4 linked regions of the Stegostoma tigrinum genome follow. Each later gene encodes a partner of the first gene's protein in a complex. Links are inferred from orthologs where the notes say so. Each region holds a gene or a part of one and is shown in the gene's direction. Other genes may lie near its edges.

What was found.
Region 2: lamtor5 (region 1) and fnip1 share a complex: the UniProt entries of both Homo sapiens proteins name them as parts of the lysosomal folliculin complex. The link is inferred for Stegostoma tigrinum from reciprocal best matches to the Homo sapiens genes LAMTOR5 and FNIP1.
Region 3: lamtor5 (region 1) and lamtor2 share a complex: the UniProt entries of both Homo sapiens proteins name them as parts of the ragulator complex. The link is inferred for Stegostoma tigrinum from reciprocal best matches to the Homo sapiens genes LAMTOR5 and LAMTOR2.
Region 4: lamtor5 (region 1) and lamtor1 share a complex: the UniProt entries of both Homo sapiens proteins name them as parts of the ragulator complex. The link is inferred for Stegostoma tigrinum from reciprocal best matches to the Homo sapiens genes LAMTOR5 and LAMTOR1.

The regions. Positions count from the first base shown.
Region 1 is NC_081374.1:828,286-836,206, reverse strand, and holds the start of lamtor5 (ragulator complex protein LAMTOR5), read left to right. Parts: upstream 1-4,915; 5' UTR 4,916-4,978; coding exon 4,979-5,013; intron 5,014-7,921. UniProt on the Homo sapiens protein: As part of the Ragulator complex it is involved in amino acid sensing and activation of mTORC1, a signaling complex promoting cell growth in response to growth factors, energy levels, and amino acids.
Region 2 is NC_081366.1:27,651,921-27,659,617, forward strand, and holds the start of fnip1 (folliculin-interacting protein 1), read left to right. Parts: upstream 1-4,682; 5' UTR 4,683-4,685; coding exon 4,686-4,837; intron 4,838-7,697. UniProt on the Homo sapiens protein: Binding partner of the GTPase-activating protein FLCN: involved in the cellular response to amino acid availability by regulating the non-canonical mTORC1 signaling cascade controlling the MiT/TFE factors TFEB and TFE3.
Region 3 is NC_081400.1:6,456,283-6,463,377, reverse strand, and holds lamtor2 (ragulator complex protein LAMTOR2), read left to right. Parts: upstream 1-4,092; 5' UTR 4,093-4,147; coding exon 4,148-4,215; intron 4,216-5,327; coding exon 5,328-5,490; intron 5,491-5,928; coding exon 5,929-6,018; intron 6,019-6,618; coding exon 6,619-6,726; downstream 6,727-7,095. UniProt on the Homo sapiens protein: As part of the Ragulator complex it is involved in amino acid sensing and activation of mTORC1, a signaling complex promoting cell growth in response to growth factors, energy levels, and amino acids.
Region 4 is NC_081359.1:110,907,910-110,915,213, forward strand, and holds the start of lamtor1 (ragulator complex protein LAMTOR1), read left to right. Parts: upstream 1-4,301; 5' UTR 4,302-4,395; coding exon 4,396-4,437; intron 4,438-7,304. UniProt on the Homo sapiens protein: Key component of the Ragulator complex, a multiprotein complex involved in amino acid sensing and activation of mTORC1, a signaling complex promoting cell growth in response to growth factors, energy levels, and amino acids.

The DNA.
Region 1 (7,921 bases):
TGGTCCAAGTCCTCATTATGAGAGAGAATTATTTACCAATTTTAATATCCCTCAGGACAGTTACAGCTAGGAACTACTTCCAATTCAAATTATAAGGACAATTGATGAGCAGTGTGAAAGTCTCCAGCTAATTATCTGTGGGACAGGTTCACTGCAAGAGTTATCTGTCGATAGGGGTTGATTACAATATGTAATGTTGTAATCTTGGAAAGCCCTTTAAACATGCTTCTCATTGGTTAGGAGAGTCAAATGGAGTAAAATAAACAACAATTTAAAACAGCCACAGACATACCAGAAATCCAACCAACAAAGTATCATTATTCTAAAATGAAACTGGGACAACATGAAAGAGTAGAGGGAGATTTACACTGTACCTAACCTCATGCTGTCTCTGTCCTAAGTAAGTTTGATGGGGACAATATAGTGAGAGGTTTACTTTCTATTTTTAAGAGTAGAAAGAGTTTTACTCTGTATCTACACCCATGCTGACCTTGTTTTGGGAATGTTTGATAGAGAGGGTTTGCTTTCTGTTTAAGAGAGTAAAAGGTTTTACACTGTACCTGACACCAAGCTATACTTGTCTTGGGAGCGTTTGATGGGGACGTTGTAGAGCAAGCTTTTGTCTGTATCTAGCCCCATGCTGTAGAAAGGTCATCATAGAATCAGCAGTGTCATTCCCACAATTCTTCACATTATTTATTAATTTCTTTGATAATGGCATATAAAGTCATAAATAGAAAGCTGATGACACAGTTAAATGGCATTTTAGACAGTGTAGATTTTGGCAATAGCATCACAATGGGGTATCAACTGGGAGAAAGGGCAAAGCTGGCTAACAAAGTTCAATGTAAATAAGTGTGAAGTTACCTACTTTAGACCGAAAAATGATAGATCTGGGTGCTTTCTAGATGGTATGGAGTTAAATATAGTAGATGTTCAAAGACGCTTGGGGCTTCTGATGCATACATCTATAAAATACCACAAACAAGTACAGAAAATATTCAAATATCTAATGAATGTTGGCTTTTATATCTAGATGGATGGAGTACAAGGATATAGAAGCTATGCTGCAGTTACATCGAACCCTGGTTAGACTGCACTTGGGAGTACTGAGTGTGGGTCTGGGCACCAGGCTTTGGGAAGGATACATTGGCCATGAAGGGAGTACAACATAGGTTTACAAAAATGATACCTGAACTTCAGGTTTAAGTAATGAGGAGAGATCAGACAAATTATACCTGCACCTGAAGGTGATGATGATGATGATGATGACGCTCAGCCTCTGCATTAACAATAGAGCAACCTCAAAAACTCCTCCCCCATAAAATCATCTTGACGATTTTTCAAGATTAGGCATTAAATTTATCTTTATTTCATTATTAGATGTGAATTAAACATTTATTTAAACTGCGCTTTCTTTTGTATTATGCTTTTGAGTGATACTTTTTGACGGTCTACCCCTAACACCGCTTTTCCCATTGGGCCCATTATTCCTACAGTGTGATTTTCTGTAATGCAATGTTGCGCAGGAATGCAACTATTGTGTTACAATAGATCTGACTGTAGTCACTGGCTGCCATTTTGGCAACTATCCTTTCAACCTGATTCTCTGCTTTATACCAGTCAGCCAATCCTCTATCCATGCCATACTTTGCCCTTAACACCAAGGGTTCTTGTGCTATTTAGGAACTTCCTGTGTGGCACCTAGTTAAAAGCCTTAAGACTATAACATATAGGATAAGAATTAGACTATTTCAGCATCAGACCTGCTTCACCATTCATGTCTGATATGTTTCTCAACTCAAGTCTCCTGCCTTTTCCCTGCAACCTTTGATCTCCTTATCAATCAAGAACTATCAATTTCTGTCTTAAATACACACAATGACGTAGCCTCCACAACCCTCTGCAGCAATGAGTTCCACAGATTCACCACCCTCTGGCTGAAGGAATTCCACTTCATCTTAGTTCTAAAGGGTCTTTCCTTCACTCTGAGACTGTCGGTCCTAGCCTCTCCCACTAGCGGGAACATCCTCTCTATTAAAAGGTTCTCAGTATTCTGTAAGCTTCTGGAAATTTAAATAGATCACATCCACTGGCTCTCCTTTGTCTAACGTGCCTATTGCCTCCTCAAAGAATTCTAAGATTTGTGAAGTCATAGAGTTATACATCACAGAAGCAGATCCTTCCATCCAACTAGAACATAGAACATAGAACAATACAGCGCAGAACAGGCCCTTCAGCCCTCGATGTTGCGCTGGCCTGTGAACCAATCTAAGCCCTTCCCCCAACACTACCCCATCATTATCCATATGCTTATCCAAGTACCGTTTAAATACCCCTAATGTGGCTGAGTTAACTACATTGGCAGGCAGGGTGTTCCATGCCCTTACCACTCTCTGAGTAAAGAACTTGCCTCTGACATCTGTCTTAAATCTATCACCCCTCAATTTGTAGCTATGCCCCCTCGTCCAAGCTGAAGTCATCATCGTCGGAAAAAGACTCTCACTCATCCAGGTCAACCAGACATCCCAATCTGAACTGGTTCCATTTGCCAGCATTTGGTCTATATCCCTCTAAACCCTTCCTATTCATATACCTAAACAGATGGCTTTTAAATATTAGAGATAATGGGAACTGCAGATGCTGGAGAATCCAAGATAATAAAATGTGAGGCTGGATGAACACAGCAGGCCAAGCAGCATCTCAGGAGCACAAAAGCTGACGTTTCGGGCCTAGACCCTTCATCAGAGAGGGGGATGGGGAGAGGGAACTGGAATAAATAGGGAGAGAGGGGGAGGCGGACCGAAGATGGAGAGTAAAGAAGATAGGTGGAGAGAGTATAGGTGGGGAGGTAGGGAGGGGATAGGTCAGTCCAGGGAAGACGGACAGGTCAAGGAGGTGGGATGAGGTTAGTAGGTAGCTGGGGGTGCGGCTTGGGGTGGGAGGAAGGGATGGGTGAGAGGAAGAACCGGTTAGGGAGGCAGAGACAGGTTGGACTGGTTTTGGGATGCAGTGGGTGGGGGGGGAAGAGCTGGGCTGGTTGTCTGGTGCAGTGGGGGGAGGGGACGAACTGGGCTGGTTTAGGGATGCAGTAGGGGAAGGGGAGATTTTGAAACTGGTGAAGTCCACATTGATACCATTAGGCTGCAGGGTTCCCAGGCGGAATATGAGTTGCTGTTCCTGCAACCTTCGGGTGGCATCATTGTGGCAGTGCAGGAGGCCCATGATGGACATGCCATCTAGAGAATGGGAGGGGGAGTGGAAATGGTTTGCGACTGGGAGGTGCAGTTGTTTCTTGCGAACTGAGCGGAGGTGTTCTGCAAAGCGGTCTCCAAAGCCTCCGCTTGGTTTCCCCAATGTAGAGGAAGCCGCACCGGGTACAGTGGATGCAGTATACCACATTGGCAGATGTGCAGGTGAACCTCTGCTTAATGTGGAATGTCATCTTGAGGCCTGGGATAGGGGTGAGGGAGGAAGTGTGGGGGCAAGTGTAGCATTTCTTGCGGTTGCAGGGGAAGGTGCCGGATGTGGTGGGGTTGGAGGGCAGTGTGGAGCGAACAAGAGACCACCCGTGACTCCCTTGACCTGTCCGTCTTCCCTGGACTGACCTATCCCCTCCCTACCTCCCCACCTACACTCTCTCCACCTATCTTCTTTACTCTCCATCTTCGGTCCGCCTCCCCCTCTCTCCCTATTTATTCCAGTTCCCTCTCCCCATCCCCCTCTCTGATGAAGGGTCTAGGCCCGAAACGTCAGCTTTTGTGCTCCTGAGATGCTGCTTGGCCTGCTGTGTTCATCCAGCCTCACATTTTATTATCTTGACTTTTAAATATTGTAATTCTACACACCTCCACCACTTTATCTGGCATCTCATTCCATACACACACCACTGTTTGTGTGAAAAACACATTCTTCAGGTACTTTTAAATCTTTCCCCTCTCACTTAAACCAATGTTCTCTAGTTTAGGAATCCACTTTCCCTAGGAAAAAGACCTTGACTATTCACTCTTATCCATATTCTTCATGCTTTTATAAACTTGTGTAAGGTGTCAGTCCCCAGCACTCCAGGGAAAAACCTCCAGCCCATTCAGCCTCTCCCTGTAGCTCAAACCCTCCAACAGTACCAACACCGTTTGAAATCTTTTCTGCACGCTGTCAAGTTTAACAATATCCTTCTTAAATTAGGGTGGCCAGAATTGTACGCAGTATTCCAAAAATAGTCTCAGCAATGTACTGTACAGCTATATACTCCCAAATTTCCACCGTCCCCAATCCCTTCTGGTGAGCGTTGGCCACTACATTCTACCCTGACTCTCCGGAACTCCTTCTGTCCCTGCAATCAGCAGGTCGTGCACACCGCCCAGTCCAATGACCGGGCGATCAGGGGGCGGGGCTAGTGTAGGGGTGGGGTTAGTGTAGAGGGCGTGGTCAGTATTGGGGCGGGGTTAGTGTAGGGGGCGTGGTTTAGGCAAAGTGCGGCGTTCGTACAGGGGGGAGGGTGTGTTAAGGGGGCAGGGTCAGTCAAAGGGGTATGACTGCAGGGGCGGAGTTAACGTGGGGGGCGGGGTTAGTGTAGGGGGCAGGGATAATACGAGCGGTTCTACTGCAGATGAGGAGTCAAGGAAGGGGGCGGTGTTATTGCAGGGGGCGGGGCTAGTCCGAAGGGCATCACAGAGGGGCAGGGTAATTGTGGGGGTGGCGTAGAGAAGGGGGCAGGGAAAATAGGAGGGGTTCTACTGCAGGGGCGGGGTTAAGGTAGGGGGCGGTGTTAGTGCAGGGGGCGGGGCTAGTCCTTGGGGTCCGAGGGGAGGGAAAAGGATGCCAGGATGGAGGGGAAGGAGGGGGAATGAAGGTGGGGAGGCGGGGTTTTATTGCAGTGGCGGGTCAACACTGGGTGAACAGGCGGGTAAACGCGGGTGTACCGCCCACTGGTGACGCTATTTCCGGGTAACCCTTGGGTAGTTCCCGGATGTGAAGAATGGAGTCGGCTTTAGATTCCCAACTTCGAGAGACGTGAGAGAGAAATAACATTAAACACATAAATAGTCAATATAGGGAGATAATCTTCAAAGTAAATTCAGGGGAAATCGAGAGTGAGAGAGAAATAATTATAGAGTCAGAAATAACATTAAATATAGAAGGGGAGGGGGAGGGGAGAGAAATTGTGGTGAGGGGGGCAGGGGGGATGAGAGCGGGGGAGAGGGGGAGAGGAGGGGGAGAGGGGGAGAGGAGGGGGAGAGGAGGGGGAGGGGGGGAGAGGAGGGGGAGGGGGGATGAGAGAGGGGGAGAGGAGGGGGAGGGGGGATGAGAGCGGGGGAGAGGGGGAGAGGAGGGGGCACGGGGCAGGGGGGATGAGAGCGGGAGAGGAGGGGGCAGGGGGGATGCGAGGGGGAGAGGAGGGGGCAGGGGGGATGAGAGCGGGAGAGGAGGGGGCAGGGGGGATGCGAGGGGGAGAGGAGGGGGCAGGGGGGATGAGAGCGGGAGAGGAGGGGGGAGGGGGAGAGGAGGGGGGATGCGAGGGGGAGAGGAGGGGGGATGCGAGGGGGAGAGGAGGGGGGAGGGGGGATGCGAGGGGGAGAGGAGGGGGGAGGGGGGATGCGAGGGGGAGAGGAGGGGGGAGGGGGGATGCGAGGGGGAGAGGAGGGGGGATGCGAGGGGGAGAGGAGGGGGGAGGGGGGATGCGAGGGGGAGAGGAGGGGGCAGGGGGGATGAGAGCGGGAGAGGAGGGGGCAGGGGGGATGACAGCGGGAGAGGACGGGGCAGGGGGGAAGAGAGCGGGAGAGGAGGGGGCAGGGGGGATGAGAGTGGGCGAGGAGGGGGCAGGGGGGATGAGAGCGGGAGCGAGGGGGAGAGGAGGGGGCAGGGGGGATGCGAGGGGGAGAGGAGGGGGCAGGGGGGATGCGAGGGGAGAGGAGGGGGCAGGGGGGATGCGAGGGGGAGAGGAGGGGGCAGGAGGGATGAGAGGGGGAGAGGAGGGGGCAGGAGGGATGAGAGGTGGAGAGGAGGGGGCAGGGGGGATGAGAGCGGGGGCGAGGGGGAGAGGAGGGGGCAGGGGGGATGAGAGCGGGAGCGAGGGGGAGAGGAGGGGGCAGGGGGGATGAGAGCGGGAGCGAGGGGGAGAGGAGGGGGCAGGGGGGATGAGAGCGGGAGCGAGGGGGAGAGGAGGGGGCAGGGGGGATGAGAGCGGGAGCGAGGGGGAGAGGAGGGGGCAGGGGGGATGAGGGCGGGAGCGAGGGGGAGAGGAGGGGGCAGGGGGGATGAGGGCGGGAGCGAGGGGGAGAGGAGGGGGCAGGTGGGGTGAGGGCGGGAGCGAGGGGGAGAGGAGGGGGCAGGGGGGATGAGAGCGGGAGCGAGGGGGAGAGGAGGGGGCAGGGGAATGAGGGCGGGAGCGAGGCGGAGACGAGGGGGCAGGGGGGATGAGGGCGGGAGCGAGGGGGAGAGGAGGGGGCAGGGGGGATGAGGGCGGGAGCGAGGGGGAGAGGAGGGGGCAGGGGGGATGAGGGCGGGAGCGAGGGGGAGAGGAGGGGGCAGGGGGGGTGAGGGCGGGAGCGTGGGGGAGAGGAGGGGGCAGGGGGGGTGAGGGCGGGAGCGAGGGGGAGAGGAGGGGGCAGGGGGGGTGAGGGCGGGAGCGAGGGGGAGAGGAGGGGGCAGGGGGGGTGAGGGCGGGAGCGAGGGGGAGAGGAGGGGGCAGTGGGGGTGAGGGCGGGAGCGAGGGGGAGAGGAGGGGGCAGGGGGGGTGAGGGCGGGAGCGAGGGGGAGAGGAGGGGGCAGGGGGGGTGAGGGCGGGAGCGTGGGGGAGAGGAGGGGGCAGGGGGGGTGAGGGCGGGAGCGAGGGGGAGAGGAGGGGGCAGGGGGGGTGAGGGCGGGAGCGAGGGGGAGAGGAGGGGGCAGGGGGGGTGAGGGCGGGAGCGAGGGGGAGAGGAGGGGGCAGGGGGGGTGAGAGCGGGGGAGAGGAGGGGGGCAGGGGGGATGAGAGGTGGAGAGGAGGGGGCAGGGGGGATGAGAGCGGGGGCGAGGGGGAGAGGAGGGGGCAGGGGGGATGAGAGCGGGAGCGAGGGGGAGAGGAGGGGGCAGGGGGGATGAGAGCGGGAGCGAGGGGGAGAGGAGGGGGCAGGGGGGATGAGAGCGGGAGCGAGGGGGAGAGGAGGGGGCAGGGGGGATGAGAGCGGGAGCGAGGGGGAGAGGAGGGGGCAGGGGGGATGAGAGCGGGAGCGAGGGGGAGAGGAGGGGGCAGGGGGGATGAGGGCGGGAGCGAGGGGGAGAGGAGGGGGCAGGGGGGATGAGGGCGGGAGCGAGGGGGAGAGGAGGGGGCAGGTGGGGTGAGGGCGGGAGCGAGGGGGAGAGGAGGGGGCAGGGGGGATGAGAGCGGGAGCGAGGGGGAGAGGAGGGGGCAGGGGAATGAGGGCGGGAGCGAGGCGGAGACGAGGGGGCAGGGGGGATGAGGGCGGGAGCGAGGGGGAGAGGAGGGGGCAGGGGGGATGAGGGCGGGAGCGAGGGGGAGAGGAGGGGGCAGGGGGGATGAGGGCGGGAGCGAGGGGGAGAGGAGGGGGCAGGGGGGGTGAGGGCGGGAGCGTGGGGGAGAGGAGGGGGCAGGGGGGGTGAGGGCGGGAGCGAGGGGGAGAGGAGGGGGCAGGGGGGGTGAGGGCGGGAGCGAGGGGGAGAGGAGGGGGCAGGGGGGGTGAGGGCGGGAGCGAGGGGGAGAGGAGGGGGCAGTGGGGGTGAGGGCGGGAGCGAGGGGGAGAGGAGGGGGCAGGGGGGGGTGAGGGCGGGAGCGAGGGGGAGAGGAGGGGGCAGGGGGGGTGAGGGCGGGAGCGTGGGGGAGAGGAGGGGGCAGGGGGGGTGAGGGCGGGAGCGAGGGGGAGAGGAGGGGGCAGGGGGGGTGAGGGCGGGGAGCGAGGGGGAGAGGAGGGGGCAGGGGGGG
Region 2 (7,697 bases), on another chromosome or scaffold:
GTGTCCTTGTGCACCTGTTGCTGAATGTAAGCATGCAGGTGCAGCAGGTGGTAAAGAAGTCGAACGGTGTGTTGGCCTTCAATGCGAGTGGTTTCGAGTTCAGGAGCAGGGATGTATTGTTGCAGTTATACAGGGCCTTGGTGAGGCCGCACCCATAGTAATGTGTGCAGTTTTGGTCTCCTTTTTTTGAGGAAGGATGCTCTTGCTCTCAGGAGTGCAGGAAAGGTTTACCAGGCTGATTCCAGGGATGGCTGGACTGATGTACAAGGAGAGACTGACTAGGTTAGAGATAATGGGAACTGCAGATGCTGGAGAATCCAAGATAACAAAGTGTGAAGCTGGATGAACACAGCAGGCCAAGCAGCATCTCAGGAGCACAAAAGCTGACGTTTCGGGCCTAGACCATTGACTAGGTTAGAATTGTTTTTGCTGGAGCTCAGAAAATTAGGGGGGAATCTCATAGAGACTTATAAAATCCTAACAGGACTAGACAGTGTAGATGCATGGGGGGGGTATGTTCCCGATGGTGAATGTGTCCAGAACCAGGGGTCACATCTGATGATTCGGGCTAGATGCTTTAGAATGGAGATGAGGAGATGTTTCTTCACCCAACAGTTCATGAGCTTTTGGAACTCGTTACTACAGGAAGTGGTTGATGCCAAAACATTGAATATATTCAAGACACAGCTAGATATAGGACTGGGAGTGAATGGGATCAAAGGTTACGGGGAGGACACAGGACTAAGCTATTGAGTTGGATGATCAGCCATAATTGTGATGAATGGTGGAGCAGACTAGAATGGGTGAATGGCCTCCTGCTCCTATCTTCTATGTTTCCATCAGTATGACATCATCTTTGTGTAATAGTCCAACATAATTATGTAAATTATGACTGACAAACTGATCAATTAATTTTTTTTTGCTGTTGATTGAAAGACATCAATTGCAGACAGTCAATCCTAAAGTCCACTTTTACATGAAGCTAATTTTTCAACTTTTCTCAAGGGGAAGTGGCATATTCTCTCTCGTGCTCTTTAGACATGACTGAAGTTTTGCTTTATATAACCCTTAATTTCCAACTGCTATCTTTATTTCCACTGCTTATCTGATTATGCAACAGTTAATTTGAAAAAAGCATAGATCTATCCTTTGTTTAAAAAGCTTACATCTGAAGCGGGCACCTTTGGCCTTCCAAATCTTGTCTGAGAATTTGGTAGACAATTTATTCTGTGGGCCCCTGTCTTCTGCAAATGCTGGCAATGCCTGGTGGCTGTTTTTTAAAAAATTCTATCCTGTGCTGTTTTTGGCGGTTGCTTGAGCTTTGTTTTCCTTGTCACAAAGCAAGTGCTCACTGTTCATGTGTGTTTTTTTTTTCCCCCTGTGGTCCTAATATAAATGTGATTCCTGTGCTGCTTCAAGTTTTGTCTGAGGTTTTCAAACTTATTACAACCTTGTTTATTTTTTAAATACCTGGCACTGCACATCATATCATGCTTTCTTGTGTTATTTTGAAGTAATATAGATTGAGTATTGTGGATTCAATGTACTTAAAGCTCAGAGGTTTATTAACCACTCAGTCCTTAACTTTCAGTTACGGATAACTACATTTGCAATCTCTTGCTAACATGCTTCATAGATGTGGCAGTTATGCATTTGGTTTACATACTGGACCTCCGTTGCATTTTTTTTGCCAGCTTGTAGCATTCAAAAAATAATCTTCCAAAAAAGAATTTTATTTGACTCTTAGTTAACTGTTTCTCACTCTTTATAGCAGCACTGTGTGGACATTTAGCACGGGACGAGAGAGCGGTAGAATTGGGCCAATGCTCTGCGTTCATTACTTATCATTTAACTGACCTCTTAACTGGTATAGCAAGGCACTTAATTATGTGTACCTGCTGCAAAAAAGCTTTTTTAAAAAAATAAATCTAAATCTAAAATAAATTTAATCTACTAAGACTGTCACATTTTGATAATTCCAAAAGTCTCAGAATGACACAATACTACTGGTAACTTTCATTTTTGTGTTTCATTTATTTGATGAAAATATATCAAAAGCCCTAATTGAGCAAAAAAACTGACCGTGGAGAATCTTGCTTTAACTTCTGCTTTGAGTATGGTATCCAGAAAATGAAGAAGGGTCGTGACTCAACGTCAGCTTTCCTTCTCCTCTGCTGCTTGGCCTGCTGTGTTCATCCAGCTTGACGTTTTGTTATCTCTGTTAAAACAGTTGCAAATGTGCAGAATTATAGGTCCTGATTTCCACTCAGTAGAAAGGTTCAAATGTTGAAATTCAAAATTCTTCCTTTTTTTATTTACTCGTTTGGATGAGGACATTGCTGGTTAGGCCAGCATTTATTGCCCATCCCTAACTGCCCAGAGAGCAGTTAAGAGGCAACCATATTGCTGTGGGTCTGAAGTCACACGTGGGCCAGACCAGATAAGAACAGCGGTTACCTTACTAAAGGATGGCAATGAACTAAATGGAATTATGGTCATTTTGAGTTTTCATTCCAGATTTCTAGTAATTTCAAATTCCGTTCTCTGCAATGGCAGGATTAGAACCCAAGTCCCCAGAATATTAGTTTGGTCCCTGGATTAATAGTCCAGTGATAGTATTACTAGTCCACTGGTTTCCCTGCATGGCCGTGTACCATATAATTGATTCATTTATTGTCGTCATATGTACCTGGATTCAGCAAAAAGTGTTTTGTGTGCTATATAGGCAGATTGCACCAAACAAAATGCATCAAGTTGGCAGAACAGAGTGCAGAATACACAGTGCTACAGCGACAGAGAGGGTGCAGAGGGAGAGAATTAACATTTGAAAATCAGAATAAGCAACTGTAGTTTGTGTAGACAAAGCTCACTTAAAAACATGTAACAGCCTAATAGTGTTACAAACATTATATGCAGCAGAATCATCATTAGGTCATACATAATATTAATGACAAGGCAACGGAGTTGGTCTACCAGAAGAAATCTGGTCGGAATGAATGATTAACTAGAGTTGGGCCACGCTAAGTTGAGGAATGTACTTTTCTTCTGGAACCAGAACAGCAGTGGAGCTCTCCTTAAGTCCTTTGGCCTCCCCCACCCTGATCTGATCTCTCTCCACACTTACACAATGCGAGTAAATTACCCCCACACCTGCTAACTGTCTGGCTCAAGACTTCTGTCGCCACATTCCTCCTGAGCAGCCACATAATGAATATGCTCGTGTGTCAGTGGGAATCTTGTCTATTTTAATAGGGCCCTGCTGTTAAGATTGATAAAGTCTACATATACCTCAATATTCAACGCTGTTGCATGTGTGTGCATCTTTCCCTTCCACCCTAACAATAAAAAAATCTTTTTGCTTGTTTCTAATTTAAAAATAATGCTTGACCTGTTTATTTTTCTAACTTTTTTCTTCAAGAGGATGTTCAAACTGCTTACACCATACATCTCAGTTGCTGGGAATTACTGTCTTTTGGGCTTGAATGAAATTGCATTTCGGAACTAGTTTCTCTTGCAGATGCAGGTACACCTGACATATTTCAGAGTTCATTTTAGGAAGCATCTTTATGGCTGAGAGAGTACCCGTGTGTTTAGGTCAGTTTCAAACCAGGGATGATGATGTGGTGCATACCAATTTCAACTTAGAGCAACTTAGAGAAGCCTTAGACGTTTTTAGATGCATCGTGCACTATAATAGGAGCAAACAAAACCCTACAGCAATTGCTGGAGAAATTCAGCAGGCCTGGAAGTATCAGTGGAGAAAAAGTAGAATTAACTCAATGGGCCCAGAGACCCCTTTTGATACAAAGCTGATGTGTCCTAGCCATCCATTATGGATTGAAACTATTTAAATTTATATTGGAAGTAAACATTGTCCATCAGATGCCATTCTTAAATTGGGTTTTTTGGACTGAACTTAAAATCTGCCCATTGGATGTTTGGTTTCTTGTATTTAGTATTTAAAAAAACGTAAACTGGTATGAGCTAAAAGTTTTTAAAATTGGCCAATACACCCCGTTACTAAACTTTAAGACAATCAAAAAAGTGTTTTAAGGCACTCAATGGGTCCGACTTGTACAACTTGTGAAAGCAATCGTGCATGCAGAATTAAGTTTTTAAACAAAAGGGGGGGGCGGAGTTAAAATTTTATTTTAAAAAATGGAAAGTCGACCCAGTAGACGCGATGAGTTACTGCATTGTAAATTCCTGATGTTAAATTTTCGAGTTGTCGCTGCAATTTTTCTCCTATGCCTGCCTTATTTGGTGATTTTAAAACTACTGGCTAGTGCAAAAAGCGGCACATAGCTCAACAATTACACTGTCCTCTCCGCCTTGTGGAACAAACATGTCCAAAAATTGTATCTGAATCTAACTGCATTTTGCGTGGTAGAGTGAAGAAAACTGCAGTTTTGTAATGCGTATATAAACCAGCGAGCCATTAATGGTATTAAGAAGTTTGCAGTATTTACTGCTAAGCGAGATCAAAACACCAATTCCTTGCAGTCACTGAACACACCCCTAAGAAAAACCAAAACATTGAAAAAAAATTCACTAAGCATGTGGTTACACGACGCGAAACAGCCAATAATTACATTCGGTACAGAGCAGGTCTGTCGACAGAGGGCCAATGAGAGAAACCGTTTGGAGTTTTCCTGAAGCGGCGGCACTAAGCCAATCTCAGTCATATGACAGTGAAGCTCGATGGGGTAGTGCGTTACACTCCGATTCTCTCACCTACAGGAAAAAAAATGCCACCGACTTTATTTCAGAAACTATTTAATAAGCGGAATGGCTTACTTTCCCCTATCAAAGGTTTGAAGGAAGACAGTTCCTTCAGGTAAGAACCGTGATCGAATGTGTTTTGAATGCTTCCTGTTAGGGAAGAATTACATCAAAGAGTATCGGTAGTTAAATTGATACAGTGAGTGAGTGAACGTGACGCTTCCAGATACATTGTAGCCAGATTACGGAAGTGTGTTCTCGCGCTGAATTGATGCATATTCTTTATGTTTCTTCCATGGTTTTGAGTTTCGTCCGTGTGCAGAGAGTAATCGTGGTTATTGTGAGACCTGCCTTACTAGGCGTCTGTTGTTCTTTACCTTTTTGAGGAGAACGCCTTTGGACATGTAGTTCCCTGTGGTTGGGTGGACCTACACGTGTATTCTCATCTTGTGACAATTATTGAGATAAAGACTTGGCTAAAAGTCAAAAAGTGAAGGAAAAAATGTCTTGAAGCTCGGATAGAAATAAATACGAGGAACACTGACGACGATTTGATGCCAGTTTTTTAAAAATCCTATCCTTACATTAAAATATTCAGTCTGTTTTCTCCACGGGTCGATGAGTTTCGGATATATAATCTACTCTATGATTGTTAATTTAAAACAAATGCATATTACAAATCATTTTGCTATCGAATACTTTTTAAAAAAAATCGCCCCCCAACGATGGATTAATTGGCACCCACGAGCAGATGGATCGAGATGTCTTACTGTTTATTTCCTCTTTTAAAGCTGTATCATACTGAAAATAGATAATTAATGGAATTGCATGGATTTACACCATAGTGCAAACAATGTAATAGGAACGGAACAGAATACAGTACTGACAAATACAATATGTTACAAACCTGATGTTTGTTTATGTTGTCTTGAAATGGAAATTAGTTATGTTTAAGGTGGAGTTTAACAGAAATGTGTGTATATGACACAATGTTTGCAGATGTAAAATCAAGTAGAATTTTGGACCTCACTTTCAGGTCCCAATCAACAAAAAGAAGCAGTCAAGAGTAAAGGGATGGGAATTAATGTAACTGCTAAATACTCCTAGTTATAAACATCACAATTGGCCTTCATGTTTTTCAGGGTGCAGTGGATTTTTACCCACTCATGCATATTTTCCAGTAATATACATGGATCTGTGTTCACTCATTTTCAAGAAAGTTAATATTTCAATCCAAACAGATAATTAATTTGTTTTTTTTAATTGTTATGATCCCAGCAGATGGTATTTTTGACCAAGTTAGGCCCCAGTGTGAAACCTGGCTAGATAGATGAAAAGTTTAACTTTTGTAGTTAATTAGTTGCTGAATACATTCACATGAGGCTGTCAATATTCTTTAACAAAAATGCTAACGGTCAAAGGACTGTTCTTTAAGAGAGATAACTGGTTGTAGTTTAACCTGAGGGTCACCATGCTTCAAGTGAGGAAAGAGATTGAGAAGGAGACTCTTTCATGGTGAACCCACACTTTTGGCATCATGAACCAGCCATCCAGCTAGCTGACCCATCAGCAATAACTTTCTGAAATAGTAGGAACTGCAGATGCTGGAGAATCTGAGGTAACAAATTGTAGAGCTGGATGAACACCACAGGCCAAGCAACATCAGAGGAGCCGGGAAGCTGATGTTTCGGGCCTAGACCCTTTAGAAACTTACTGTTGGCTTTCCTAAATATGTGCTATAGTTGCATACTAACCTTTTGTGATTCATGCATTAGAACGCCCAGATCTCTCTGCATCTGACAGCCTTCTTGCTCCCCTGATGCTGTTTGGCCTGATGCTAGAGAATCTCAGATTCTCTAGCATCTGCAGCTCCTTCTTCCTCTGAAACCATTTAGAGGATATGCTTTTCTAATTCTTCCTGCCAAAATGAACAATTTCACATTAGCCCTTGTATGATCCTTTACAGCCAAATGAGGTTTCTGTTTTCTTAGATTATGTAACTACTTTTTTTGCAGTCATTTAGTTCCATTTTACTTTTATGAAAAAGGCTGGCATCTTTGCCCAGTGAAAGGGACCATGGATGCTTTAAGACAAAAGCAAAATAATGTGGATGCTAGAAATTTGAAATTATCCACAGATACTGTTTAACCTAATAAGCAATTCTACCATTTTTGGTGGAAAGAGGAAGAGTTAACATTTTCACTTTTTTTTAAACAGTAGTAGTGAAAGACTGTGTCTTTTCATGGAAGGAATCTGCCATCATGCTCAAATGGGATTGCAGACCAAACAGTGGGGTTGACTCATAAATGCCTTCTGAAATGACCTGGCAATTAATGAATGGACTAATTAAGCTACAGCCTCACAAAAAGACATACTCCTAGAAGGATACCTTAACGATAATACCCTGGATACGGTCACCATCCCTGTATATGTCTATGTACTGTCATGTCAACAGGACTGACCTACCAGAAGTGATAGTACAGTGTTATTTAGTCAAGAGAGAATTATCTTGGGTGCTGAATCTGTGCTCCTTCATGCTGAGCACCAGTTAGAAGCCCTGATGGTGCAGAATGCATTGTGTGTGGATCAGTTCAGTGTCTGTTACCAAGTGGGTTTCTGTAGTACTGACCAAGTTGAGATTTTTTTTTGTTCAGCAGCATACTCTACGTTGGCGTTGGAGTATAAAAACAGATTGTCAGAGTTTGGAAAATTTTAAATGTCAGTCACGTGACACCAGGTTATTGTCCAACAGGTTTATTAGAAATCTCAGCTTTTGAAGTGCTGCTCCTTTGTCAGGTGAAGTGAAGTGAAGCGCAGCGCAGTCTTCTGAAAGCTTGAGATTTGAAATATACATGCTGGACTATAACCTAGTGTCTTGTGACTTATGACTTTGTCCACACCAGTCCAACATCGGCACCTCCATATCATGGAAAATTTTATATTGAGTAGTACAGCACATTATTTGTAAAGAAAGT
Region 3 (7,095 bases), on another chromosome or scaffold:
TACAGTGGATACAGTATACCACATTGGCAGATGTGCTGGTGAACCTCTGCTTAATGTGGAAAGTCATCTTGGGGCCTGGGATGGGGGTGAGGGAGGAGGTGTGGGGGCAAGTGTAGCATTTCCTGCAGTTGCAGGGGACGGTGCCGGGTGTGGTGGGGTTGGAGGGCAGTGTGGAGCGAACAAGGGAGTCACGGAGAGAGTGGTCTCTCCGGAAAGCAGACAGGTGTGGGGATGGAAAATTGTCTTGGGTGGTGGGGTCGGATTGTAAATGGCGGAAGTGTTGGAGGATGATGCGTTGTATCCGGAGGTTGGTGGGGTGGTGTGTGAGAACGAGGGGGATCCTCTTTGGGCGGTTGTGGCGGGGGCGGGGTGTGAGAGATGTGTTGCGGGAAATATGGGAGACGTGGTCAAGGGCGTTCTCGATCACTGTGGGGGGAAAGTTGTGGTCCTTGAAGAACTTGGACATCTGGGATGTGCGGGAGTGGAATGCTTCATCGTGGGAGCAGATGCGGCGGAGGCGGAGGAATTGGGAATAGGGAATGGAATTTTTGCAGGAGGGTGGGTGGGAGGAGGTGTATTCTAGTTAGCTGTGGGAGTCGGTGGCTTGAAATGGACATCAGTTACAAGCTGGTTGCCTGAGATGGAGACTGAGAGATCCAGGAAGGTGAGGGATGTGCTGGAGATGGCCCAGGTGAACTTGAGGTTGGGGTGGAAGGTGTTGGTGAAGTGGATGAACTGATCGAGCTCCTCTGGGGAGCAAGAGGCGGCGCCGATACAGTCATCAATGTACCGGAGGAAGAGGTGGGGTTTGGGGCCTGTGTAGGTGCGGAAGAGGGACTGTTCCACGTAACCTACAAAGAGGCAGGCATAGCTGGGGCCCATGCGGGTGCCCATGGCCACCCCCTTTGTCTGTAGGAAGTGGGAGGAGTCGAAAGAGAAGTTGTTGAGGGTGAGGACGAGTTTAGCTAGGCAGATGAGGGTGTCTGTGGAGGGGGACTGGTTGGGCCTGCGAGACAGGAAGAAGCGGAGGGCCTTGAGGCCATCTGCATGCGGAATGCAGGTGTATAGGGACTGGACGTCCATGGTGAAAATGAGGTGTTGGGGGCCAGGGAATTGGAAGTCCTGGAGGAGGTGGAGGGCGTGGGTGGTGTCACGGACATAGGTAGGGAGTTCCTGGACCAATGGGAGAAAATGGAGTCCAGATAGGTGGAGATGAGTTCGGTGGGGCAGGAGCAGGCGGAGACGATGGGTCGACCAGGGCAGGCAGGTTTGTGGATTTTGGGAAGGAGATAGAAACGGGCCGTGCGGGGTTGGGGAACGATGAGGTTGGAGGCTGTGGGTGGGAGGTCCCCTGAGGTGATGAGGTCATGAATGGTGTTGGAGATGATGGTTTGGTGCTCGGGTGTGGGGTCATGATCGAGGGGGCGGTAGGAGGTGGTGTCGGAGAGTTGGCGTGTGGCCTCGGCGATGTAGAGGTCAGTGCGCCATACTACCACTGCGCTACCCTTGTCTGCGGGTTTGATGGTGAGGTTGGGTTTGGAGCGGAGGGAGCGGAGGGCTGTCCGTTCTGCAGGGGAGAGGTTGGAGTGGGTGAGGGGGTGGAGAGGTAGAGGCGGTTAATGTCTCGACTTCACCAGCTTCAAAATTTCCCCTTCCCCCACCGCATCCCTAAACCAGCCCAGTTCATCCCCTCCCCCCACTGCACTACACAACCAGCCCAGCTCTTACCCTCCACCCACTGCATCCCAAAACCAGTCCAACCTGTCTCTGCCTCCCTAACCTGTTCTTCCTCTCACCCATCCCTTCCTCCCACCCCTAGCCGCACCCCCATCTACCTACTAACCTCATCCCACCTCCTTGACCTGTCCGTCTTCCCTGGACTGACCTATCCCCTCCCTACCTCCCCACCTATACTCTCCTCTCCACCTATCTTCTTTACTCTCCATCTTCGGTCCGCCTCCCCCTCTCTCCCTATTTATTCCAGAACCCTCACCCCATCCCCCTCTCTGATAAAGGGTCTAGGCCCGAAACGTCAGCTTTTGTGCTCCTGAGATGCTGCTTGGCTTGCTGTGTTCATCCAGCCTCACATTTTATAATCTGGGGCTGGATTATGTTGGCGTGGATAAGTTGGACTGAAGGGTCTCTTTCTGTGCTGTACAACTCTGTGACTCTTTACAGTTTACAGAGAAATATTGATAAAAATTTGGCAAATAGATTATACCAAGTGAAAATATGAAGTTGTTCATTTTGGAAGAGAGAACAAAAGAACACAATATTACTCAACCGGAGAGAAGCTGCAGAAAGCTGCAACAAACTGCAGGAAACATAGCAAGCTAACCACATGTAGTCAGGAAGGGCTAGTGAGATGTTGGCCCTTATTTCAAGAGGGTTGGAGTATCATAGTAGAGAAGTCTTATTTGCAACTATGCTAGGCACTGGGGAAATCACATCTGGAGTGCTGTTAGCAGTTTAAGTCCCCTTATTTAGATAAAGATAGTTTCATTGGAAGAAGTTTAGAGAAGTTTGAGGTGATCCAAGGTATGGAGGGATTGTCTTTTGAGCAAGGATTAAACAGGTTGGGACTCTACTAAGTGGAGTTTAGAAGAATGAGAAATAATCTCATTGAAACATATAGGACTCCGAAGGGGCTCACCGGGGACTCTCCTCATGGGAGAGTCTAGGACCTTAGGTCATAGTCTTAGAATAAGTTTAAGACTGAAGTGAGGAGGAATTTCTTTTCTGAGAGGAGGTGTTTGAGAGTCTTTGGAACTCTTTGCTGCAGAGAGGGGCCAGACTCCTCCTGTATATTTAAGGCTCAGATAGATTGGATTTCTTGATCAGTCAGGAAATCAAAACTTACAGGGAAAATACAGCAATGTGGATGTGAGGAATGTTAGATTAACCTTGATCCCATTGAATAGCAGAGCAGGCTTGAGCAGTTGAATGGCCTATTCCTGTCATTTCCTCTTAATTTGGTTCCAAAGCAAATCATGTTAAAATTGCGTGGAATGCTAAGTTAGCTTTAGCTGAAATAATGTCCAGTTGTGGGCATCACATTTTAAGAAGGCACCAGAGCATACAGGCAAGGATTTGCAGGATTGGTTCCAGGGATGATGGATTTCAGTGTTGTGAATAGATCAGAGATGCTAGGACTGTTTTCTTGCAGAAGAGAAGTCAGGGAGGAGATTTTACCAAAACTTTGGAAACCATTAGGGGTCAGGAATGGAACGGAGAGGGAGAAATTGTTCCCATTCGCAGAGAGATTGGACTAGTGGGCACGGAATCGAAGACTATTGGTAATCAGAAAGTGGGAGTAGGATCACCATCTGAAATGGAAGAACATACATGGCAATAAGTAGAAGCTCGCAGGGGGAGCACTCATTCAGAAATGGAATGGGCTTAATGGCATCCTCTTGTGCTTTAACAATTCTGCAGGTTATGCATGGCGCTACAGAAATTCAGGGGACATTGCCAAGCTTCTGTCATCTGTTGCAGCTGTAAATGTTAGCACCGTGGTGTCCGTTCTGTTTTGTTGTCTGTTTAAAGGCTGATGGTTAATGTATTGTTTTTTCCGAGCAGGTGGGACCTGAGCCCGGGCCTCCCTGTCCAGGGGTAGGAAAACTACCATTACAGCACAATAAAACCTGATTAGACAATTCTCCTTTACCAAGATGGTGACAAAGCCGCACTTCCGTCTTAGCCGATTGTTTCCCCTTTACAAATATGGTGAACAGGGTGGCTTCAGCTATTTCCGAAGCAATGGGAACGTCTGGATGGGTACCCCATTGCCAATATGGCGGCGACAAGGCGTCTCCTTGGGCAGCTTCGACGAGATCTCCCTTACAAATATGGCGACGGCATAGCGCCCGCGTTCTCCTTACCAAGATGGCGGCGGGAGAATTTTTTTTTAACCTTCGCCGCAGATGATTGCCTTATATTCCGGAAAATAACGCTCACCGATTAAAACTCCCAAAGGAGGCGGTCGTGGTTAAAATATGCGCAGAGATGCATGTTCCGGCGGAAGGGGTTGGGGGGGCAGGACCACGTGAGAGTGAGATCACGGGCTGTAGGCGGCGGGATTTGGAACTACAGATCCCAGAGTGCACGGCTGTTTCCGGTCACTGTGGACTTCCGGCGACTCCCGAAGATGTTGAGGCCCAAAGCCCTGACCCAGGTCCTGAGCCAGGCCAACACCGCGGGGGTCCAGAGCACCCTGTGAGTGAGGGGGCTGCGGCGAGGGCGGAGGGAGGGCCTGGGGGAGTCAGGGAGAGACCTTGGGAGGCGTGGCCCCAGTGTGTTATGGAGGGTGGGGGCTGGAGACCCCGTGGGGGCAGTGTGTGGTGGGAGTGGGGGCGGGGGCTGGAGACCCCGTGGGGGCAGTGAGTGGGGGGTGACGGGGGGCTGGAGACCCCGTGGGGGCAGTGAGTGGGGGGGTGACGGGGGCTGGAGACCCCGTGGGGGCAGTGAGTGGGGGGTGGTGGGGGCTGGAGACCCCGTGGGGGCAGTGAGTGGGGGGAGTGGGGGCGGGGGCTGGAGACCCCGTGGGGGCAGTGTGTGGTGGGAGTGGGGGCGGGGGCTGGAGACCCCGTGGGGGCAGTGTGTGGTGGGAGTGGGGGCGGGGGCTGGAGACCCCGTGGGGGCAGTGTGTGGTGGGAGTGGGGGCGGGGGCTGGAGACCCCGTGGGGGCAGTGAGTGGGGGGAGTGGGGGCGGGGGCTGGAGACCCCGTGGGGGCAGTGTGTGGTGGGAGTGGGGGCGGGGGCTGGAGACCCCGTGGGGGCAGTGAGTGGGGGGTGGCGGGGGCTGGAGACCCCGTGGGGGCAGTGAGTGGGGGGAGTGGGGGCGGGGGCTGGAGACCCCGTGGGGGGCAGTGAGTGGGGGGTGGCGGGGGCTGGAGACCCCGTGGGGGCAGTGAGTGGGGGGTGACGGGGGCTGGAGACCCCGTGGGGGCAGTGAGTGGGGGGTGGCGGGGGCTGGAGACCCCGTGGGGGCAGTGAGTGGGGGGTGGCGGGGGCTGGAGACCCCGTGGTGGGGGGGGAGGCATTTGGAAGAAGGCTTCTGTGAGTTGGGGGCAGGAGCGGAGGAGTGGGTGGTGTTATGGTGGGGGTGAAACCCTCTGTGGGTGGGGAGGTGGTGTTTAGGGAGGAGATTGGAGCCTGTGAGCGGGTGTTGGTATACAGACGGATGGGGGGGGTGGTGAAGAGGGGAGCGGGGTGGGATTCCGGGGGGGGGGGGGGGGGTGCTGGTTGGATGTCTGTGCAGGGGTGACATTTGGGGAGGGGTATGTACCGGCTAACAGTAACCATGACCCCCCCCCCCCCCCCCACAGGTTGTTGAACAACGAGGGCTCCCTCCTCGCGTATTCGGGGTACGGAGACACAGATGCCCGGGTGACTGCAGCGATCGCCAGCAACATCTGGGCTGCCTACGCCAAGAACGGGCACCAGGCCTTCAACGAGGACAAGCTACGATTCATCCTCATGGACTGCATGGTGTGGGGCTGCTGGGGGCGGGTGGTGAGGGGAGGCTCACTGTTCCCTTTCAGCACTGACATGGTCACTCTTCCCCCCCCCCCCCCCCCCCCCCACAAGAAGAGTGGCATCGCTTGTGGGGGATCTGGTCCTGCGCCACGAATCCGTCCGTAGCTGAATATCCCGTCCGGCAAGGGGCTGGCTTGCAACAGACTGGGTCAAGTGAGAGCCGCGAGGATTGGGGCGGCGGGGGGTGCAAAACCGACCACCTCCTTTCTCAGGGAGGGGGGTTCCATGCGTGCTTTTGGGCATTGCCCACTTTGAGCCTGTTCACCCTCTGTACGTCCATGCTAAATCCCCCTTGTTCGAGGGTGTGGGCAGCCCTGCGTACCCCACCCCTGTGTGCGTGCGTGTCTTGCCCTCTCTGACCCCCCGTGTGTCTCTCTCTTTCCGTTTCAGGAAGGCAGGGTGGCGATCACCCGTGTGGCCAACCTGCTGCTGTGCATGTACGCAAAGGAGACCGTGGGATTCGGGATGCTGCAGGCGAAGGTGAGCGGGCTGGGGGTGGGTAGGTGACGGGGTTGTGCAGATGGTGGGTGGGTTGCGGGGCTGGAAGGGTGTTTGGGCGGAGGTGGCTGGGGGTGAGGTGGGCCGGGGGGTTGGTGGGGGGGGGAGCGTCGGCGGGTGGGCGGAGGGGGCAGTGCGGTGGGCCGGGGCGTCGGGAGCGATGGAGCTGGGTGGGGGTTGTTAGCGTTTGCTTGTGAGGGCTCCTCTGTGTGGTCCTCGGTCCATGTTGCGTTCACTAGCAGCTTTGTAGCGATGAGACGATGTGATGTAGGAGCAGTTGTGCGCCGCTCAGCCCATCGAGTCCATCCACCCTTCGATGGCTGATCTTGGTCATCCCCATCTCCCAATTTCCTGCCCTTTCCTCCATACCCCCCACCCCCCCGCCCCGGTTCCCTCCCTGGTTTGAAAATCTCTCTTTCCCAGCCTCCAATATAAGTCAGTCATTGTAACCACCATCGCTGAATACCCTACTGTCAACATCCAGGGGTCACCACTGAGGGAGAATCTAACCATTGTGCCCCCCCCTCCGGCATTCAGTGGTGTTAACATCACTCTAGTCTCTTTTCCCACTCCCTGCCTCAGTATCACCACACTGGGGGTTACCATTGCTCAGATATCGATACCATTGCCCCATATCGATACCGGGGGCTACCAAAGCAGGTCAGAGGCTGGGAATCCTGCAGCCAGTGACTCCCGTCCCAACTCCCCTGTCCCACCATTAACAAGGCAGGAGTGTGAGGGAATGCACCCCCCCCCCCCCCGCCACTTGCCCTGGGTGGGGGCAGCTCTGACAAACACTGGAGAAGCTTGACCCCATCTGGGGGCAAAGCAGCCCCCCTCGCCCTCCCTGGATTGGCACCGTGTCCACAAGCCCCCACTCCCCCCCCGCCCCAGCCGATGCTCAGTCGCAGCAGTGTGTACCATTCACAGCGACTCCCCCCAGTCAGCACCTTCCAAACCCGGGACCCCTACCCCCTGGGGATGGGGGCAACGGGCAGCAGGTACAGGGGAACCCCAGCCCCCTGCGAGTTCCCCTCCAAGACACCCCCCCGCCCCCCC
Region 4 (7,304 bases), on another chromosome or scaffold:
ACCCAGTGTGGCTTCCTCTACATTGGGGAAACCAAGCGGAGGCTTGGAGACCGCTTTGCAGAACACCTCCGCTCAGTTCGCAACAAACTACTGCACCTCCCAGTCGCAAACCATTTCCACTCCCCCTCCCATTCTTTAGATGACATGTCCATCATGGGCCTCCTGCAGTGCCACAATGATGCCACCCGAAGGTTGCAGGAACAGCAACTCATATTCCGCCTGGGAACCCTGCAGCCTAATGGTATCAATGTGGACTTCACCAGTTTCAAAATCTCCCCTTCCCCCACTGCATCCCTAAACCAGCCCAGTTCGTCCCCTCCCCCCACTGCACCACACAACCAGCCCAGCTCTTCCCCTCCACCCACTGCATCCCAAAACCAGTCCAACCTGTCTCTGCCTCCCTAACCTGTTCTTCCTCTCACCCATCCCTTCCTCCCACCCCAAGCCGCACCCCCATCTACCTACTAACCTCATCCCATCTCCTTGACCTGTCCGTCTTCCCTGGACTGACCTATCCCCTCCCTACCTCCCCACCTACACTCTCTCCACCTATCTTCTTTTCTCTCCATCTTCGGTCCGCCTCCCCCTCTCTCCCTATTTATTCTAGAACCCTCACCCCATCCCCCCCTCTCTGATGAAGGCTCTAGGCCCGAAACATCAGCCTTCCTGCTCCTCTGATGCTGCTTGGCCTGCTGTATTCATCCAGCTCTACGCCTTGTTATCTCAGATTCTCCAGTATCTGCAGTTCCTACTCTCTCTAATATGGATGTGTTGTCCCAGTCAGATTTGTCTTCTTCTTTGTCTGTGAAGTATGAGACAAGTGAGAATAGGTCGTGTCTCTTGGTGGCTAGTTGGTGTTCATATCTCCTTAATATCAGTTTTCTTCCAGTTTAGCCAATGTAATGCTTTTCACAGTCATGGTTTTTTGTATGTTATGTTAGTTTTATTGGTTGTCAGTACGGGGTCCTTTATGTTCGTCAGTAGCTGTCGCAGGGTGGTTGCTGGTTTGTGAGTTACCCTGGTACCTAGGGGTCTGAGTCCACATCATTCAGAACCCTCAAAGATTTCACCCGAGGTCAGATGCAGGTTAAATGCAGCAACAAGAAACAATGTTAAAAACATTCATCAGATGAGAGAAAGAGAAAATGAGAGTTGATATTTCTTCTCTCTGAGGGTAGTGAATTTGTGGAATACTTTCTTGCAGAGGGTTGTTGAGGCTGGGTCATTCAGTACGTTCAAGGCTGAGATAGACAGATTTTTAATCAGTAAGAGATTTGAGGGTTATGGGGAAGCGCGAGAATGTGGATTTGAGGATTATCAGATCAGCCACAATCTCAGTGAATGGTACAGCAAATCCAATGGACTGAATGGCCTATTTCTGCTCCTACATCTTATGATCTTATCATAAATCATAGAATCCCTTCAGTGTGGAAACAGGAAATGCTGTGGACTGACCAACAACACTTACATCCTGTGTAGAGCAAAGAAAAATTCTATCTGTCACTTATAGAACATAGAACATAGAAAAGTACAGCACAGTACAGGCTCTTCGGCCCACCATGTTGTGCCATGGAATAATCCTAATCCCAAAATAAAATAACCTAACCTACATTCCCCTCAATTCACTGCTGTCCATGTGCATGTCCAGCAGTCGCTTAAATGTCACTAATGACTCTGCTTCCACGACTACCACTGGTAAACTATTCCATGCGCTCACAACTCTCTGGGTGAAGAACCTCCCTCTGACGTCTCCTCTACACCTTCCTCCTAATACCTTAAAACTATGACCCCTCGTGGCAGTCAATCCTGCTCTGTGCAAAAGTCTCTGGCTACCGAATCTATCTATGCCTCTCATTACCTTGTACACCTGCCCAATCTGCAAACCTCTCTCTCCTCCTCATCTCTGTCATAAATGTGTGACCTTTGGCAGTATAGACTTGAAGAGCCGAAGGTCCTGTACTGTCTGATTCTATAACTCCTTAAACTGACATGCACCCACCACTTAATCATGTTGCTGGAGCCACACATAGGCCAAACTGGGAAAGGCAGACCACATCTTGAAAGGACATTCGTGAACCAACTGGAATTTTATGACCATTGATAATAGTTCCATGAACACCATCACTAGTCAAGATTCCAGATTTATTAATTGTTCATTTAATGGTGCAGGCACGATGGGCTGAATGGCCTCCTTCCATGCCAATAACAATTCTGTGATCCTGTGTCTGCCTGAGTCGAGACGTAGCCTCATCACTGTCTTGGCAACATTGATAGATTATGAAGTTTTCAATCAACAAATTAATTTTAAACAGCAATTAAAAAAAGTGATACTTGAACAGGTGAGTTTTGAGAAGATTTGTAGCTCAGGTTGAGTTTCTGGATATGAGTTTGCTCGCTGAGCTGGAAGGTTCGTTTTCAGACGTTTCGTCACCATTCTAGGTAACATCATCGGTGAGCCTCCGACGAAGCCTTTGTCGGAGGCTCACTGATGATGTTACCTAGAATGGTGACGAAACGTCTGAAAACTAACATTCCAGCTCAGCGAGCAAACTCACATCCAGAACTTGAACAGGCCTTTGGAGACCACCACAAGCTGTCATTTACAACAACTTGTTATTTTGACTGTCCACCCAAGAAGCAACTGCAAGAAATGAGTTCTGGAACCAAGAGCTTATGCTGCAGCTGTACAAAACTCTGGTGCGGCTGTACTTGGAATATTGTGTACAGTTCTGGTCACCGCATTATAGGAAGGATGTGGAAGCTTTGGAAAGGGTGCAGAGGAGATTTACTAGGATGTTGCCTGGTATGGAGGGAAGGTCTTACGAGGAAAGGCTGAGGGACTTGAGGCTGTTTTCATTAGAGAGAAGAAGGTTGAGAGGTGACTTAATTGAGACATATAAAATAATCAGAGGGTTAGATAGGGTGGATAGGGAGAGCCTTTTTCCTTGGATGGTGATGGCGAGCACGAGGGGGCATAGCTTTAAATTGAGGGGTGAAAGATATAGGACAGATGTCAGAGGTAGTTTTTTTACTCAGAGAGTAGTAAGGGAATGGAACGCTTTGCCTGCAATGGTAGTAGATTCACCAACTTTAGGTACATTTAAGTCGTCACTGGACAAGCATATGGACGTACATGGAATAGTGTAGGTTAGATGGGCTTCAGATCAGTATGACAGGTCGGCACAACATTGAGGGCCGAAGGGCCTGTACTGTGCAGTAATGTTCTACGTAACTTTACAAAATAAGAGCGCATGGTATTGGGAATGACATATTCTCATGGATAGAGGATCAGTTAATGAACAGGAAAAAAAGATGGCTGGATTTTCACTATAATGGGATCTTGGCATTTTTCCACATGGGCATTTTGCAAAGCTAACAATCCTGAGAAATCAGTAACTGTCCATGTCCCTGTGTGAGTTAGCGAACAGTGTCTAAAGCACAAAGTGCTGAGATGTGACCAAGCAGGAGCAGGTCTGAATTTTATGAGTTTGTTTGGATAGCTAGAGAACCCTCTTACAGTCGAATGATGTTGATTGTTGGGGAAAACCAATCTGGTTCCCTCATGTCCTTTAGGGAAGGAAACTGCCATCCTCACCTAGTCTGGCTAACATGTGACTCCAAACCCACAGCAACGTGGCTGATTCTTGACTGTCCTCATGAGGGGAGTGGATAAAAAAAAGGATCAACTGATGAAAAACTGCTGGAACTGTCTACAACGAAGAGAAGGTTGAGAGATTTGATCAAGATCTTCAGATCACATAGAATCCAGGGAGAACTAGCCATTTGGAAACAAAATTGTCCTGAAGGTAAGTGACAGAGGGTAGTGGTGGAGGGCCGCTTTTCGCACTGAAGCCTTGTGTAACCCCTATGCCTCTGTCCAAGTCTTTTTGATCTGTATGTACATCCTTGCTTACCATGATCTGCCTGTACCACTGGTAAACAAAGCTTTTCACTGTAATTCAGCACACGTAACAAACAATCAATCAGCATCCAGAGGTTTTCACATGGGAATGGGATCATTATCTGAACAGGAAGAAGCTGCAGGAATCACTCATGGGGAGAGATAGCACAGACACAATGGGCCGAATAGGCAACTAGGCTTGAACTCTGACCCCAACTGAGGATCAATTTACGAGAAAATGGCACAGGATGATTGACAGACCAACCGGATCTGATGTCATAGAGGGGCGGTTCCCATTATGATCGACAGACCAAAACGGTTGAGAATTGAGGGGCTAGCGATGATTGACAGTCTGCGGCGGAGATGACGTCGGCAGTTGGGCGCTCGTCCGGGTGATTGACAGTTCGGGTCGGATGTGACGCAATGGTTGCTAGGCCCGATCATGTGATGGTGTAAATAGGGAGCCCGCGGCCTGCGCTCCTCTGGTTCCCACCATGGGCTGTTGTTATAGCAGTGAGGGCGACAGCAGTGAACAGGTGAGGATCACCCTTCAGTATAATCCCCGCGTCCGCCTTCTCCTTAAAACACCCGGCAAAATCACCTGGAAACTCATTGAGTCCCTTCAGGGCTGGTGTGGTGCAGCCTGACCCCTCCTTTTGGCCTGGGGGGTGTGGTGGTGTGTGGGGTTAATCCCCCCTCCCCCTGCATTATCCTGGATTGGAGGGTTGGTGTGCGGGGTTAACCCCCCCGCCACCCCTTTGCCATTATCCTGGATTGGAGGGTTGGTGTGCGGGGTTAACCCCCCCGCCACCCCTTTGCCATTATCCTGGATTGGAGGGGTTGGTGTGTGGGGTTAACCACACACCAGTTAAAATGATTTTAACTCCCCCTCCCATTCTCTTGACGACATGCCCATCATCGGCCTCCTGCAGTGCCACAATGATGCTACCCGAAGGTTGCAGGAACAGCAACTCATATTCCGCTTGGGAACCCTGCAGCCCAATGGTATCAATGTGGACTTCACCAGCTTCAAAATATCCCCTCCCCCCACCGCATCCCAAAACCAGCCCAGTTATTCCGCTCCCCCCCCAGTGCATCCCAAAGCCAGCCCAGCTTGTCCCCGCCTCTCTAACCTGTTCTTCCTCTCACCTATCCCTCCCACCTCAAGCCGCACCTCCATTTTGTACTTACTAACCTCATCCCGCCTCCTTGACTTGTCTGTATTCCCTGGACTGACCTATCCCTTCCTTACTTCCCCACCTATACTCTCCTCTCCACCTATCTTCTTTTCTCCATCTTCGGTCTGCCTCCCCCTCTCTCCCTATTTATTCCAGTTCCGTCTCCCCATCCCCCTCTCTGAAGAAGGGTCTAGGCCTGAAACGTCAGCTTTTGTGCTCCTGAGATGCTGCTTGGCCTGCTGTGTTCATCCAGCTCCACACTTTGTAATCTTGGATTCTCCAGCATCTGTAGTTCCCATTCCCATTATCTCAAATCAGCTCATTGTTGCCTTGCAGAGCTGATGTCACTCACTTATTATACTCTAATTCTGCTGAACAAGAGTTTCAAATTCTTGTCTTGGACATCTACAGTTCCCAAAACCAGGATGTGGTGTGATTTACTTGTTTCAGTGAAACTAAAGAAAGATTGCCTAATGCTAGAATATATTGTTCGGCCAGGTGGTGATTGGCTAGCACAAACAGGATGGGCCGGATGGCCTTTTTCTGTCCTGTCAACTGTCTATGACTAAGCAGTTTTTGTATTTCTGTGACACAAATGAAGCATTTCCTCCAAGGTAGTCACCATTGCAAGATAAGAAATGAGACCAGATTTGTGTATGCTAAGATTCCTCACGAGAATTTCATTATGGCCAGAAAACTTTTTTTATTGTGCTTGGTCCTTGGTTTAACATTTCACCTAAAAGGTGGTGTTACTGAATGCATCACTCTCTGATTACTGCTCTTGGGTCATTGACTGATTTTATATTCAATGATGTGGAGAGGGACTGGAAGCACATTCTTCTGACAGAAGGTAGGACACTATCCATGGAGTCATAACTGGCCTTGTTGAGAAACCCAACAAAAAGTAGGAATTCCACCAAGTTCGGAACAGGCTTGAAGTGGTGAAGCCCGAGGAAAACTTATTCATATCCTTGTTCATAATTTACTGATCTCAAGCAGGTACAGCAAGTAATTATGACAATAATAGTATGTTCACCTTTTATAACAAGATTATTAGATTACAGGAGTCAAGATGCCTGCCTTGCTTTAATTGTATAGAGCTATGATGAGACTTTACCTTAACTGTTCATGTACAGTTTTTCTCTCCTTATTGAAGGAAGGATGCACACAGGGGGAGTGCAGTGGAGAGTCACAGGATAGATTGCTAAGATGTTGAGATTGTCCTGTGAGGAGAGTTTGAGGAGACTGAGTATGCTGTGGAGTTTAGAAGAATGAAAGGTGAAACTTAGAAAATCCTTTTTATAAGGATGAACAGAATAGATGTAAAAAAAGTTTCTCTCTACTCTAGGGTGTAATCCAGGGGAAAGTATCTCCGACTAAGGGACAGGTCACTGAGAATGGAGGGATGGGCAATGAATGCTGTCCCAACGAACAATGCCCACAGAATAAGTGAATAAAATGATTAAATGCACAAATTGATAGATTTCTAAATATTAAAGATGTTGCAGATGATATGTAATTTGCAGGAAAATGGTGTTGGTGTAGTGAATCAGCCATGATCTCGACAAATAATGGAGCAAACTTTAAAAGCTTCATGACCAATCTACCTATTTTATCTATTCTTAATCATTAGAAAGGTTATAGTACAGAGTCCATTCGGTCATTTGTGTCTATACCTTCTCCCTGGAAGAAGATATTAGTCTGTGGGACTCCACCATCTTTTCCCCATAGCACTGTAAACCTTGCCCCTTCAAGTGCACATCTGGTCGTCCTATGAAAAACGTGATTGAATCTGTCTCCACTATACTGTGTCTCCCAGATCCTAACCACTTCTTGTGTAAGAAAGCTTTCTTTCATACACATTAGGAGCTGATTGTGGGCAACTTGGCTTCTTGAAGCTATTTCACTGTTTGCTTTCTCATAAATTCCATCATTATCCTCCACAATTTGGTGTTTGCAAGGTTTGAATCATACGCAGTATTTGAAATTTTGCTCAAGGCAGCGAAGTCAACAACTCTAAATGTGTCAAAAGCAGTAGTTGGGGACTGACCCTGGGAATTCCCACCATGAGCCACTTTCCAAGACACAATAGAACTGTTCACCGTTAAACCCTCTTTGCTGTCACTCAGCTGAACTTGTATCTATTTTTCTGTGATAACATGTGGTGGTAGAGGAATACAGCATCACAGGAGCAGGAAAGCTGACGTTTTGGGTTGAGACCCTTC